Anolis sagrei: one gene and its partner. The protein of the gene in region 1 binds, or shares a complex with, the protein of each later gene. Links are inferred from orthologs where the notes say so. Each region holds a gene or a part of one and is shown in the gene's direction. Other genes may lie near its edges.

The links. The genes of interacting proteins can lie anywhere in the genome.
Region 2: the proteins of OBSL1 (region 1) and MYOM1 are in contact, whole or in part, in a crystal structure (PDB 5FM5), measured with the Homo sapiens proteins. The link is inferred for Anolis sagrei from reciprocal best matches to the Homo sapiens genes OBSL1 and MYOM1. Residues at the interface, in NP_056126.1 of Homo sapiens: Pro243, Lys253, Phe255, Val257, Asn258, Gly260, Lys261, His262, Ala263, Lys264, Phe265, Arg266, Cys267, Tyr268, Val269, Met270, Gly271, Lys272, Pro273, Pro275, Trp279, Lys305, Tyr308, Tyr317, Cys319, Ala321, Arg322, Asn323, Ser324, Ala325; in NP_003794.3 of Homo sapiens: Arg616, Pro617, Ser618, Ala619, Pro620, Trp621, Thr622, Gly623, Gln624, Ile625, Ile626, Val627, Thr628, Glu629, Glu630, Glu631, Pro632.

What each region holds. Positions count from the first base shown.
Region 1 is NC_090021.1:231,437,973-231,446,008, reverse strand, and holds the start of OBSL1 (obscurin-like protein 1), read left to right. Parts: upstream 1-4,955; 5' UTR 4,956-5,350; intron 5,351-8,036. UniProt on the Homo sapiens protein: Core component of the 3M complex, a complex required to regulate microtubule dynamics and genome integrity. It is unclear how the 3M complex regulates microtubules, it could act by controlling the level of a microtubule stabilizer.
Region 2 is NC_090024.1:62,172,450-62,180,272, reverse strand, and holds the start of MYOM1 (myomesin-1), read left to right. Parts: upstream 1-4,798; 5' UTR 4,799-4,899; intron 4,900-6,474; 5' UTR 6,475-6,603; intron 6,604-7,823. UniProt on the Homo sapiens protein: Major component of the vertebrate myofibrillar M band. Binds myosin, titin, and light meromyosin. This binding is dose dependent.

The sequences.
Region 1 (8,036 bases):
GCAAGGACAGTGCTGCCCAGGGGACAGGGCCTAGGGCAGGGTGCTCAAGGGGAGAGAGGGAGGCAAGCAGTGGTTGGGTGGCAGTGCTAGGCAGTGCTGGCAGAAGGGGCAACGTTTTCCTTCCCCCCTTCCACCCACCATATCTGCCTGGAGATCAGTGTAATCAGGTTACTTAGAACTGAAGCCTGATCAATCTCATCAACCCCAAGCAATGACTGTCAGTCTAGATCCAGATCATAAGGGAAATGGAAGAACCTTCTGCCCAGATTTCTTGCATACTATAAAATTGTCACTGTACAAAGGAATGGTCAGTCAGTGCATTTTGTTAATTAAATGTAATAGAAGTGCTAAAATGTGCTAAAGAAAATCTGATCTATACCTCAAAGTTACTCCTTCCACTGTTCAATCAAATCAGAGCTCTTTAGATCTCAAGAAAGTGTGGATTATTACTCTCAGACTCCCTCAACCTATCTGTTCAAGGTCATTCAAACGTGTTTAGACATAGTTACACCTGCTTAGGCAAATCCTTTATCCCAGTCTCTTCAGCATTAGGAATTGTTGTAGGATTAACTTTTTTTGTAGAAATAAGTGGGGAAAACTCTTCTTGCGCTCTTAGAGGGGATACTGGTGATTAATAGTGTTCTGATGTCTAAAGCACACATGCCCGCAGAGCAGCTTCCTATATTAAACTTTTTCTGCACATGAATCTCTACTATTTCAAGGGAAAAATACAATAGCTGGTTTAGTTTTGTGTCTATCATGATCAAACGCATAACATGAGTTCATGTGATGTATTTGTACTTAGTTTTTTAGACAGCATACTTCAACTACCCAGAGAGTTTCAAAAACTATTTCAGCAACTGTGACAATAACTACTCTGAGATTAACACCATCTTTCTGCAAATAATATAGCTTTAGGTAAGTTAAATGTTCTTATGGCTACCTACTGAGTTCAAACAGCTAAGATGAGCTTTGAAATGGCAACTTCTTAGCACAGACCTTTAACAAATGGGGTGTATACTAAATAGTCGCAGCAACTGTATTTTTCTCAGCAGGAAATATAAATTCCAAGTTAGTCTTTTGACTGTAACTTTGGGCCCTTCTACACTGCCATATAAAATCCAGATTATCACATTTGATCTGGATTATATGGCAGTGTAGACTCATACAATCAAGTTTAAAGCAGATAATCTGGATTATATGGCAGTGTAGAAGGATTCCCTAGGCTGTGCTGAGGTATTGAGCATTATAGTCCAAAAAAAAAAGTAAGGCTTCCAAGTTGTGCCTGAAACATCTGTCTGTGATTGTTAATCAATTATGTGCACATTTCACATTTTCTCTACTGTTGTAATTGGTGAAGTGGATCCAAACACAAACAAAGGGGTCACAGTTTACCAAATGCTTGGCAAATTGTAGTGCTGCTTGCCTTTCAACCACAGACGTTGGGAGGGCTGCCCAAGAATTAAAGGGGGAGATGCCTAAGAGGGTAATTTTTCAGGCTTGTATCTAAGAATTCAGAACATAGCGCTGCTTGGCACCTGTCAGATGAGGTTAGATTTCAGTGTACTCTAAAACTGATCCAAGCAAGATCAACTGCATAGTTCCAAAAGGTACACAAGTTTGTGTAGGCTGGATTTATTAGGGTATGGGTTAGGCTTAACCTAGTCTCCTACCACTTTTTCCAAATTGAGTGCACATCTTCTTCTATAAGGGAGAAAGATGCTAAGGATTGTAAGGAAACCATTTCTACCATGCAGGGGAACATAGCTAATTGCCCTAACATTGATCCCACCTAAGATCCATCTTGTTTTCTACCGCTCCAAAGGCTAGGACACAGACCAATTGATTCAACTTACAGGAAAAGAGATTCCACCTAAACACCAAGAACTTCCTGATGGTAAGAGCTGTCTAGCAATCTTGCCTGGGAATACAGTGGAGTCTCCTTCTCTGGAGGATTTAAAATACAGACTGAATGACCATCTGCTAAGAGTACTTTCATTGTGTATTCCTGCATGGTAGAGGACTGGACTGAATGGCCCTCTTCCAACTCTGTTTCTATGATCAACAACGATATGTAAACTACCTAAGAGTCATTATAGATTTGTATCACACAACCTTTCCACTCTGTTTAGAAATTCAAAACAAAATCTTGCTGCTGATGTTCACCAAAACATCTACAGATGGAGTTTATCTTTTCAGCAGTATCAAGGGTACAATGATATGAGGTGAATAGAATATAAAGAATAACAAAACCGTAGATTAGAAGGAGATCTACCATCCTGCCTATGTGGCCATTCATCTCTGTTTAAAAACTTCCCCAAGGAAAAGACCATCATTGTTTGTAGCACTTCCTTGCAAGTTCAGATTGTCTCATAAGTCCTTGATTGAAAAAAATAATAATAACAAAAACGAATGTTGGAGAAAATAGGTCATTTTAACAGTGTGCTTAATAGCTGTTTTTCCCTCCTAATGGATTCAAATTACAGGAAAGCAGATTTCACCTGAACATTAGGAAGAACTTTCTAACTGTAAGAGCGGTTCAGCAGTAGAACTCTCTGCCTCAGAGTCTGGTGGAAGCTCCTTCCTTGGAGGTTTGTAAACAGAGGCTGGATGACTTTCTGTCAGGGGTACTTTGTGCTTTTCCTGTATGGCAGGGGGTTGGACTGGATAATCCATGTGGTCTCTTCCAACTCCATGATTCTATGATTCCGATGTATGGGAATAATTTCCCATTCTTTCAAACAAGCAGGCATGTAGCCGGGGGGGGGGGGGGGTGGGGGGGGGCTCGGGGGGCTCGGGGGGCTTCAGCCCCCCCCCCCCGAAATTCTCATGGTGGTTCGTGAAAAGGCCTTACTGGTGCATTATTTAAACTGTTATGTTTATTCATATCATGATCTGATCACCATACTCAATATATCCCATATGCAGGGGGTATTGGGGTAACGATACAAAAGGTTTACTAGGCTAGACCCTCTTTCACTCAGACTCAGCCCCCCCCCAAAACTCAGCCCCCCCGAACCCCCCCCCCGAAAAAAATTCAGCCCCCCCCCCCCCCCCCCGGAAACGAAATCCTGGCTACGGGCCTGCAAACAAGTAACCTCTCCTCTGTTGCCTAAAATAATACATTTGTGAGGAATACAAGGGGGATTAATTCTTCTGAGTGTATGAGCTGGCCTGCTACTTACTCCTTGTGGTTAGATCATTCTTACTTCCATCTGAGATGCTGTCTCAGATTCCATTCATTGCCTCTCAGCTAATGTTAACAGAAGGATTGACGGCAGTAAATGTGTCATAGGAAAGAACTGAAAACAATCTCGGAAGGTATGTCAGAGGAATGGAGAAAGTTGCAAATAGTCCTGGAAAAATCTTTTAATGGCACCAATATATTTTTGGTGATAATTTTTGCAACATGGAAAACAAATGGAGCTTGTAAGTCATCCCCCCCCCCCCCCCCCCCGTCTCAGAGAGAAAATGACTTGTAAATGTTCAGTACTTGCTGGTGTGGTGGCAGTGAGAGAACATGAAGTTTTCTTGTGACCTTTCCCTCTTCGAGTTGGCTGACAGAGTCATCTCCTTTAAAACGTCATGTTTTCTGTTTCTAACATTAGGACTGCTGCCTAGTTTCTGTTTGCTAAGTACAGTAGACTCTCAGTTAACCCAAACTCAAGCAACCATAACTTTCAAGCAACCGACAAAAAAACCCAGAAGAAATAATAGCGCAGTTATAAAGCTGTTTTATAATAGAGTAAAACTGTGTTACATTTGTCTTTTTTTGCTTTTAATTAATGTATTTCAATATCAAGCCAACACAGAGTGTATGATATAGTATACTATGGGGTATAATATTGGTTAGTTCTACCAGAAACCAGAAACAAAATTTATTTGGCATGGGTGCTGATTAATGGAGAGTCTACTTTATGTAACAATAGGCTCGCTATAATCTGAAAACCCTGTTCCAATAAAGCTCCTTTCTTTGGGGCCCTGTACTAGGTGCTGGGAACCTCTACTAGATTGATGGGTTTTGTGAGCCTCAATTTTTATCTTTGGAGGGGCTACCTGCCAGCAGCCCTTCTAAAGGTAAAAATGGAGGCTCACATATCCCAGGGTGGAGAATCCAAGATAGATAGTCAGGCAATGTAAGTCAATGACCTCAGTTTATTGAACCTGAGTTGTATGTGTTTTATTTTATTGTATTTTATATTGTGCTTCATTTTTATGTTTGTTTTTAGACACTTTGTGCCGTTCTGCAAGCTGCCCTAAGTCCCTTCAGGGAGATGGTGGTGGGATATAAGAATAAAGTACTACTAGTAGTAATAGTTGTTGTTGTTGCCATTAAAATATTTTTTTCAAGATTATATACAGATCTGAACAGTGGGTGCTAGTGGTGGGGCCCAACAACTGCCCTAGGAAGCCAGTTGTGTTGGTGATGCCAAGCCTGCCCAACGATATAAACCAACCGATCTCCTGGGATTTGGGTTTGGTGGGACACTAGAACTCTTTGGTATTGAAGACTAAAGACCTTGTAAACTATAACTCCCATGATTCCATAGCATTGAGCCATGGTAGCTAAAGGGGTGTCAAATCGCTTTAATTCTACAGTATAGATGCACCCTATGGAAACTGTTGGTTTAAATCATTGTAGAGGTGTGAAGTCACCAGTTGGCATCCTAGGGTAGTTGTTGAGCCCCACCTCTAGCACCCACTCTTTGGACTTCTGAATAATGCTGAAAAAAATATAAGTGTGACATGGTCCAAAATTTGAGGCAACCTGGGTTGTTTTTTTTTTGAAGGGATATTCCTAGCGGTTCTAAAGCCACGTTGACCCCTTTCTTCCTTGAGTTGGGCTGTGCCTGCCTGGGCTCCAGGGGTGAGGGATGCCTTTGTGCTCCTCCCTGCTGGGCTCTATACTTAGCCAAGCCCCAGCCTCCCCGCTTATCAGCCCAGCCATGTCATCAGAGGGTATTTTTGGGGACAGCAGCTGCAGGCATTTGTAACTCTCTTAGTTTCTTGCTCTCAGACGCTTGGTGAGCAGGGCAAAGGCAGGCCAGGGACCCACAGCATGTGAGGGGCAGGAAGCATATCTGTGTGGGCATCTGTCAGGAAGAAGGGATGCCCAGTCTGGGACATGGTACAGGAAGGGCTAGAGCTATAGAGAAGAGCAACTGGCATGTGCACAGATGGATGGATGGATGGGCAGATGGAAATTGCCTGGTGAGAAGAGGAAGAGTGGAAGCAGGAACTGACTGACCAAGAAGTTCAAAGGTTGATGCAGAAGGTGGTTACTGAACGCTAAGAGGAAGGCAGGCCAGCCTGATCTCCCTCACCACCTGCTTCCCACGCCCCTCACTGGGTAAGTTTTGCTGGGGAAATAAAAGGAGGAGAGGGAGACAGACAAATGTGATACTCGCGGAAGTCGTCCCCCCCTCCCCCCCCCCCCCCCCGCTAGTGGCAATGGCTCTAGCATTAACAACCCATCTAGTCACCAAGTGATAAATCAAGGGGAATACTTGGGCATTGGTTTTGGATGCCGAAGGAGAGAGCAGAACTAAGAGAATGACTGGGTTGAAACTCAGATTGAAAAGGGTGACAATACAGGGTTTGTGTATTCTGTAGAATCAAGGCTTCTTCTCAATGCTGTGGAATCATGGGATTTGCAGTTTGGTGAGGCACCAGCACTCATTGGCAGAGAAGGCTGAAGAGCTTGTAAAACTATGACTGGTCATTAAGGTGGCATTAAACTGCAATAATTCTACAGTGTGGATGCACCCACAGTTGGTCTTCCATATTTTCAGAATCTGTATTCACAAATTCAAACATCCATTAAAAAACTCAAAAGCAAACCTTGATTTGCCATTTTATATAAGGGACATCAATGTATACCATTGTATACAATAGGACATCCATGGATTTTGGTGTTCCTGTGGGGTCCTGGAACCAAACCACACTGGTCTCACTGTATTCTTCCAGACCAGAGCTTTGATTTTCTGGGAACAACCCCTGTGTTTGTGAAGTTTGCGCCATTGAATCAAGTCACTGCATGGGTCTCTTGGCCACCACCACCCATTCTGTCCCTTATGTGTAAATGTTTTCCCGCAGAAAATAGGAGCTTGGAAAACAAAAGAAACGGCTGCCTGTGTGTGGCCTATTAAAAATGTTCTCCCTTTCTAGTCTGCATTGGGGTCTGCGTGGTAGTGACAGCTTCTTATCTGTGGAGCATTAAACAGAGTGTGATAGGGCAGGAATGCACGATAGGACAGGCATGTGGAGGGATCCATAAGAAACTCGGGTCCTCTGAGAACTGGTGTGGCATTCAGGCAGGAAATACAAGCTGGTATCCAATTCAAATCTCACTATTGCTATGCACTCGCTAAATGGCCCTTAGGAAATCATTTTCTCTCTCAGCTTCAGCTCTCTCTGCACACCCCTCCACCATATAATAATGACTACAGTGACCTACTTTGCAGTTGATATATTGGGAGTGCTTTGAACACTTGAAATGTGCTGGATAAAGTAATAATCAGCATCACTGTTGGTTTGTTTGCATCTTTGTGTGCCGGTGCCTGTTCAGCCGTCAAGCCATAATACAGCCATCCTAGCTCAGAGAAGGACAGGAGAGATATGCTATTATTTGTGGCTTAGGAAAATAACATTAAACTTTGTCCCTAAACATTGATGGCTACCTTAAAACTTAGGGAATCTAGTTCTGTTTCTGCAGTTCTCCTTTCCACTTTGGTATGACATACATATATAAAGAGTCATGGGATGTACAGGATCTGGAAGAATATAAGGTGGATGAAGGCTTACGCCAAGAGGGGGACAAAGTGTAATGCCCCAAGATAATTTTATAGTCTTGATCCCCCCAACTTCCCCCAACTACTACTTTTCTAGCCAACCGCAAACAAAAATAAAACTCGGAATTGTTTTTCTTTGAAGTTTCCAGATCCCAGGAGTAGCAATTCTTTTTAAAACCAATCACAGTACTCACCTGTACTGCTTAGCCTAAAAATAACATTTCAAAAAACAGTAGTGAAAAGGTAGACTTTCAGCCACTTTTGTCTGTCTATTTGTCTATCTGTCTATTGCATTTTTGATTTTTTGCAGCTGCTAGAGTGTCCCCTTGCAAAGTTTGGGGCCTCAAACTTGCCATTTGTCTGTCAGTGGCTTATACTGTAAACACATTGTTCAGTCGTAAATTGCTTATGTAATAATGCCATACAATTCAATACAACTACTGTTATGGAAAGAATAAATAAAGATGTTAAGTAAATAATGGCTCCTGGTGGGTGGGATTACATGGATATGTGCATGCACACACCCACATTATTGCTATATCTCAAGATCATAGGACAAAGAATTGAACACCAAAGTCATATTTCTGCTCATGATCTTGTCCCAATGACACCACAGAGCAGCTGATGTGATGCAGGCAGGGCAAGTGTCTCATGGGCTCTGCATACCTGCAGAGCATTTGTTGGTATCATTCATTTCACCACAAAACTGGTGAAGCTGGTCTAGTTCCCTGTCATATATCGGATTGTCAATTTTTGAACCTCCCCATGCCATCAAAGTGTAGCACAATGCACAAAAGAACAAGCATGAATGCAACAAGTTTGGGGATATCTGGAGGGGTCATCATGTGGACAGATTTGTCACAGACAGCCTGCTCTCCCAGTGTGGGGGTGGATGGCTAAGCAATGTGTGTTGAATGCTCACAACCCAATTTGCCACGTGATGAAGCATATGTACAGACAGGAAAAATTATGGCTTTGGAATATAACTCCTGTAATCTCTCAGCCAGCTTTATCATTGGAAATGTTGGCTGGGGGATTCTGGAAGTTGCCATCTAGATTAAAAACTGTTCAGAGTTCTGGATGACATTATGAAGTGGTCACCTTTCAACCCAGTCTTTCTCAGACATACTTTAAAGTTGCTGCAAAGGAGATGAACAGCTGTGTGATCATTGCAAATCAATTCACCAACCATTTTCCTGCATTGCTAAACTGAGCAGCAATTAACACTTTGGGTTTATTCTTCAG
Region 2 (7,823 bases), on another chromosome or scaffold:
ACAGGGATTAGCAATTACATTAAGGGATAGAAAATAGAGCAGCGGTCCTCAAACTAAGGCCCAGGGGCCGAATGCGGCCCTCCAAGGTCATTTACCCAGCCCTCACTTAGGGTCAACCTAAGTCTGTAACGACTTGAAAGCACACAACAACAACAACAATCCTATCTCATCAGCCAAAATCTGGCCCACACTTCCCATTGAAATACTAATAAATTTATATTTTTTAAATTGTTCTTCATTTTAATTATTGTAGTATTTTTAAGAGTTTTTACACTACAAATAAGATATGTGCAGTGTGCATAGGAAGTCATTCATGTTTTGTTTTTTTTATAATCCGGCCCTCCAACACTTTGAGGGACTGTGGCCTGGCCCTCTGTTTAAAAAGTTTGAGGACCCCTGAAATAGAGGGTGGATCTATATTGTAAAATTAATGCAGTCTGACATCACTTCAAATCCCATGGGTCAATGATATGGAATCCTGGGAGCTGATGAAGCACCAGTATTACTGGGCAGAGAAGGCCTTCTAAAACTACTACTTCCCTGATTACGTAGCATTGAGTGATTGCAATTAAAGTGATATCAAACTGCATTTATTGTAGAGTGTTGATGCATCCAGATTCACTATATTGTTATATCAACCCTGCCCTTGAATACTTTAGGAGAAGATCATGATACAAATAATACACACAAATAATTTGATATTATTTATGACTATGTTAATTGCTTGAAATATTTTATTACGATAAATGTAATTATTTTTGTACAAAGGAACACTTGACTCAAAACATGGTTTTTCTCTATGACAATACAAAGTTTCTATGTTCATCTACAGTTTCACTGGTATTTTTCTTTGAAAGCTTGGGGCAGCTAGAAAAGGGTTGTTGTGTGTTTTCCGGGCTGTATGGTCATATTCCAGAAGCATTCTCTCCTGACTTTTCACCTGCATCCATGGCAGGCATCCTCAGTGGTTGTGAGATCTGTTGGAAACTAGGCAAGTGGAGTTTATATATCCGTGGAATGTCCAGGGTGGGAGAAAGAACTCTTGTCTGTTTGAGGCAGGTATGAATGTAGCAGTTGGCCATCTTGATAAGCATTTAATAGGCTAACAATTTTCAAGGCCTGGCTTCTTACTGCCTGGGGGAATCCTTTGTTGGGAAGTGATTAGTTGGCCATGATTGTTTCTTGTCTGGAATTCCCCTGTTTCTGAGTGTTGTTCTTTATTTACTGTTATATAGACTCTTTTTTACTACTAGTAACCAGATTGTGTTCATTTTTATGGTTTCTTCCTTTCTGTTGAAATTGTGCACATGCTTGTGGATTTCAATGGCTTCTCTGTGTAGCCTGACATGGTGGTAGTTAGAGTGGTCCAGCATTTCTATGTTCTCAAATAATACGCTGTGTCCAGGTTGGTTCATCAAGTGCTCTACTATGGTTGACTTCTATAGTTGAAGTAGTAGTAGAAAAGGACTAAATAAACCAAAAATTTCAAGTCACATCTATATCATCCTTAGACTAAAAGTGAGGTTTTCCAAGTTGTCAAGAATATCAGTGTGGTACATCCATAAAACCACTGAAATAAAATGGATCAAGTAAATCCCTCCCCAGAGAAAGGACTTACTTCTTTTGAAGATTAAATGTCTCCTCAACAATCCAACAGCTTTTTCTTAAAGCACAAATGCTGAACTAAAATGTTTTCCCAGGAAAAAGAAATTGAGTGCTAAAACTTCATGGCTTTCCAAAGATCTGTCTTCTTATTAAAACCTGCCCTACCAAAGGCAAGCGAGAAATTTGAATGTAATATACTTTTAAGAGTGAAGAACAGAACAACTTTTGAAAGGCTTTTGTCAGGAAGATTTATTTTAAAGGTATGTATTTTATTTTCATCCAAAACAATATATGTAAACAATTATATGTTTTTTCTGGAGAAAAGATAATTGTCATTTTGCTTTATCCATGCTTGCTCAGTGCTATTGATTTCACCTGAAAATCCTTGAAACACACTTAGGATTGTACTGCAAGGAATATACTGTGATATGTCTAATTTCTGAAACTAGTGGCAATACTTCCAAGCTAGGTATTCCTGTCTAGAGAGTTTCTCATCAGAGACAGGTTTGATTGAAAACCACAAATGACAGTGCCCAAGATGCAGGTATTTGGCTAATGGTGCCCTATTTGAAGTAGCAATTCCCCTAGGTGTCTGGAAATGTTGGAATGAATTCCATGAAGCGATGCATATATTCATCACCGGCCACTTGAGGAGGAGTCATACCATGTTGGTCAGGATAGTCCAGGAAACATTACCATAGTTCATTACAGGCATGTAGCCGGGGGGGGGGGGGCTCGGGGGGCTTCAGCCCCCCCCCCCCGAAATTCTCATGGTGGTTCGCGAAAAGGCCTTACTGGTGCATTATTTAAACTGTTATGTTTATTCATATCATGATCTGATCACCATACTCAATATATCCCATATGCATGGGGGTATTGGGGTAATGATACAAAAGGTTTGCTAGGCTAGACCCTCTTTCACTCAGACTCAGCCCCCCCCAAAACTCAGCCCCCCCACGAAACCCCCCCTGAAAATTTTTTAGCCCCCCCCCCCCCCAAACAAAATCCTGGCTACGGGCCTGGTTCATTACAGATATGCAAATCAAATGAAATTAAATCAGTTTTTTTCATGTCGGGAGCCACTTGAGAAACTGCGAGTTGCTTTTGGAGTGAAAGAATTAGCCGTCTGCAAGGATGTTGCCCTGGGGACACCTGGATGTTTTGATGTTTTACCATCCTTGTGAGAGGCTTCTCTCATGTCCCCGCATGTGGATCTAGAGCTGAAGAAGGAGCTCATATGCACACTCCCTGGATTCGAGCCTGCGACATGTTGGTCTTCAGTCCTGCCGGCACAAGGGTTTAACCCACTGTGCCACCAGGCAATCAGTGACATTGCATTTGTGAAGGCTCAGATCACAGGCTTTGTGCTGCAAATGGAGAACCGAAATGTTATTTCTTTCTTTTACAATGCAGTCTACATGGGCATGCCTTTGAAGACGGCCTGGAAATTGCAACTGGTACAAAGGTCGGAGGCCAGGCTGCTAAGTGGAGCAAGTTATAAGATGCGGACAACCCCCCTGTTAAACAGCACCACTGGCTGTCAGTAAGTTTCTGATCCCAATTCAAGGTGCAGGTCATTACCTATAAAGCCCTAAACAGTTTGGGTCCAGCCTACCTTCGCCATTGCATCTTTCCCTACGAGCCTACGCAAGCTCTAAGATCTTCTGGGGAGGCCCTTCTTTCGCTCCCACCTCCATCACAAGCACGGTTAATGGGGACAAGGAAGAGGGCCTCAGTGGTGGCGTCCCAGCTCTGGAACTCTCTCCCCGGGAGAGTAGATTAGCGCTCACACTGTCCACTTTCCATAAATACCTTAAAACATGGTTGTTCCAATGTACCTTTTATTAATTGTTTCACTAAATGAATTGGTCCTTCTATTCATAACTTAATTTTGGCTCTTGCACTTTACTACTGTCCCTAATCAGACTTGGCCCTTCCAGTCTTAATTTATCTTCTGCCTCTTGCACTTTGCCATCAGCCCTGTCCCTGCAGTTATATTGCACAAGCCTCTGCCTTGCCCTTTAGTTTGAAAATGTCCACTATGCTTGGCTATTGGTGGTCGTGTGATGATTTATGTTTTTAATTATATTTTTTCATGATGTTTGTATATGTATTTTATTGTGTTATGTTTCAACTCTGTTGACTGGGCTTGCTCCCTATGTAAGCCGCTTCGAGTCCCTTCGGGAAGATGGTGGCGGGATACAAAAATAAAGTTGTTATTATTATTTTACTGACACAAAAACACAGCATGTCACAGCAAACAAGATATATATGCTGGGTTTCATATCACAAAATCACAAGTCGAACATCATCATCATCATCATCATCATTCTGGTTACGTTCCAGTCTTTTTTTAGCTAGGTGAGGCTTTTTTTTTTTTTTGCAAAGAACTCTTCCTGTAAAAACACAAATAAAAAAAATGCAGACTTGTGATTCCAGCAACAGGTTTTTTTCTACTGAATGATATTTGCTGTTTTTATCTGGTGAAGAGGTCAGTGGGCTTCAAACAACGTAGTGATTTTGTGTCCTTTGTAATAATTATACCACCAATATGTACTTTAGATTCCGGAATTTGTTTTATGGCCAAAATAGTCACTCCATCTTTTGGGTTTTTGTCATCTGCTCTCCAAGATTTTTTTTTGTCTAAATTACAATATTCACTCTTACAATTACTACAATTGTTTTTAATAATGCAATAAAAAGGGAACACGGATGACACAAAAGAGATACATATCACAAACAGCAAGAAGTCAGGTTTTGATCCCTTCCAGACATGAAATTTACTGTCTCCTTTGACTTCTTTGTCATGGCACCTTCTCAGTTAGAAAGAGTTGGCGGGGAGTGGTACATGCAAGATGATAAGAGAGTTTCTCTTCTTCTTACCTTGTCAGGCACTTTGCCAGGTAGAAATTAGAGTTCACCCCAGAGGTTTCTGGAGCGTCTTGTTTCCTAATCCTGCCAGGTTTAAAAGTAGTATATGCCTCTTGAAACCACTTTTTAGCCCAGTCAGCACTGGTTCCCCTTTTTTGCCCTAAGAGTGCTGCTGACGTTGCCCATGTGAGAGAGATGCCTGCTGCTGCTTTCAGCCAACAAGCAACTCTTCTTTTTAGGAAATGAGAGATCATCCTAGGAGCCTCCAGGACGAGCTCTCATTTCCCAGTGGGAGGAATGCCATTAAGTAATAACTTTCATGCCACTCTCCTAGCTGCTACCACCTCTCTCTCGGTACTAGATTGAGTGCAAGAGTGATCTTTCCGGCCACCTCTCCTAGGCAAGGACAAAAGACCCTGCTAGGTAAGAAGTGGTGCCAGGCTTTGCACCCCAAAGCTGGAAATGGGGTGGAGGGATCATGGCAAAGAACATCCAGAAGTAAGAACCGGACAGGCCAGTTGGCTATCCCTACTTTAGAAAAGGCTGGGGAACATGTAGCCTGCAGATTTTTGAACTATAAATCTACAAATCCAATCCCACGTTGCCTGAAATTGTTAAAGTTGTAGGGCAAACATTGGACAGGGCCAAAGTTTTAGATTCTGTAGCCTTTAATTGTTACATAAAGGCATAATTCGGTCTTCTACTGCTTTTATTCTCATTGGAACATTATTTGGGGGCAGCAATAGAAATTAACTTTCCAACTCTTGAAACAAAACAAAAAAAAAACCCCAAACCAGATAATTATATCTAAATGGATAACTGAGATAAGGGGACAAACTTTTAGATGTGGAGCCAAGAGGAATGAGTCTGTCTCTTAGCTAGATATTTAGGAAAGGAACCCAGGTCATGAGGTTTATTTATGTTGATATGCAGTTTAAAGAAATCAATAGTGGACAGAAAGTTAATTGACCACTCCCTTTTTTTTCTGGAAAGTGGCACAGAAAGAAGACATGTCTAATCAAAAATGTAAGAGAATGAATCCATTTAAAATCGGGTTTCTGCCTCCTGCAGAATTCTGGGGTTTGTAGTTTAGTTGTGGTTGTTAAAGATTCCTCTCTAAACTACAAACCCCAGAATTCTGCAGGAAGCAGCAACTGGATTTTAAATGGATTCATTTTCTAGTGTGATGAGGTGGGGTCCAAGAAACAGTAAAGTGGGGGAGTTTAATTTGATATTGAGATGTGAATTTACCAGAAAGCTCCACAGATAACGTCCTCCCTTTGCATTCCTCATAACTTACTGAGCTCCTTTAATTTAGTCATGTCTTTAATTTGGATTAATGCTTTCAATGATCTGCTGACTCGTTACCACTTTGAAAAAAATCTTAGTTATTATAAACTTCTAAACGAGAAGATTATCTTAACTAGATTTTTTTAAAGTGGCAGCTGATCAAGAGATTACGGAAAACATTTTTGCTCATTTAAATCCACAGCATAGATTTAATTGTGGAAATCAGCCAATTCATTAGAGTCTGCTATTGTTAAGCTGAAATTAATTCCTATCTGCAGAGGATGTATCAATACTTCTTGTGTTAATAGCGTCCTGTGATTGAAATGAACACAAGAGCACTCAGGAATCCCTGTTAATGCCAAGCTACTGTACTTTGGCTCCTGTCAATGCAATGACAGCTTCTTTCTAAATTGGGTTTATGTTGTAGCACATTTCCCTTCATCACTTAAATGAATTGAATTTCTATGGCACAACCATGTGTTAACATCTTTTCTGAGCTAACAGAAAACTTTAGGACTCAGTTTAGTTGGGACTTGGAAGGACAAAAGTTGTAGCTTGAAGCTGCCTGTCATCGTATATTTGAACAGAGAGTCAGACCTCTCTCCCTCTATCTCTTTGCTGCTGCTATATTTAACAGCCTTCCCAGCCATAAAAGGTCGGGAGTGTTGCTCTCACATTCCTCTGACAGCAGGCAATATTTTTGTTCAGGACCTGGCAGCCCCATCCTCAACTGATCCTCTCAGCAGCCTTGCTGGATTGAACTTTTACTGGATTTCTCTTCCCCAATCATTCATCTTTGCGCAAGACTGAACTTCATTATTCCTGGTTGGGTTGCTGGTAAGTGTGCTTTGTTAAGAAATCTTAGATGTCAAACAGATTTGCTCTATTTTAGACATTTAGGCCACCCTTTCCTTTTTTTCCTCCTTCTCTATCTTTTCTTACATTTCCTCCTCATTCTTGGTGGATTTGGAAATCTGTAATAACAGACTGGAAGAATTTTAAGACTGAAATCTCAGTGTTTGGCCAATTCAACTACAAGTGTTTTTCAAATAGACAATGAGTTAATGGCTGGACTATAATTTTGTGCTGTGTACAATATCCTCTATGATACCTTCCTTTGTGCATGCACTGTTTACTTTAAAAATATTCACAGATGAGACTGGGTTTCCTTCCACACTGCTGAATAAAATCCCTCATTGTTTGCTTTGAACTGGAATATATGGCAGTGTGGACTCAGATAGCCCAGTTCAAAGCAGATATTGTGGGATGTTCTACCTTGATTTTCTGGGTTATATGACTGTGTGGAAGGGCCCTAGATTAATTAAAAATATTCCCATCTCAAGGTTTTAAAAACTGAATATCACTTTTGGGATGTAGAGTGAGACGGTGTTGTTGCTTCTCTAAATTGTCTTGATTTCTATAGGCGGTTTTGGGTAAACAGCTATCTCTCCTGATACTTTCAACATGTCAGCGAGAGCTTTTGTGATACTGTTCTTCTGTCCATTTGCATTCCTTTATCCTATTGGTTCTCAACCTGTGGGTCCCCAGATGTTTTGGCCTTCAAGTCCCAGAAATCCTGGGAAACTGGCTGGGATTTCTGGGAGTTGTAGGCCAAAACATCTGGGGACCCACAGATTGAGAATCACTGCTTTAACCTTATTTGAATATCTGAAGAATTAAATGGACTCACAAATGTTTGAGGAGTTATCTCATTAATAAGATGTATATTTGTGCTTGAGAGCATTGTGTAGCGGTTAGAGCATGAGATCAGAGTTTAAGAAGAAGGCAAAGGCAACCTCCCCTTCTGGACAAATCATACCAGGAAAACCTCATGATAGGGTTGCTGTGTTTTTTCTGGGCTGTATGGACATGTTTCAGAAGCATTCTCTCCTGACGTTTCACCCACATCTATGGCAGGCATCCTCAGAGGTTGTGAGGATGCCTCTGAAGATGCCTGCTATAGATGCAGGCAAAACGTCAGGACAGAAGGCTTCTGGAACATGGCCATACAGCCCAGAAAACTCAGGGCAACCAAGTGATTCTAGCCATGAAAGCCT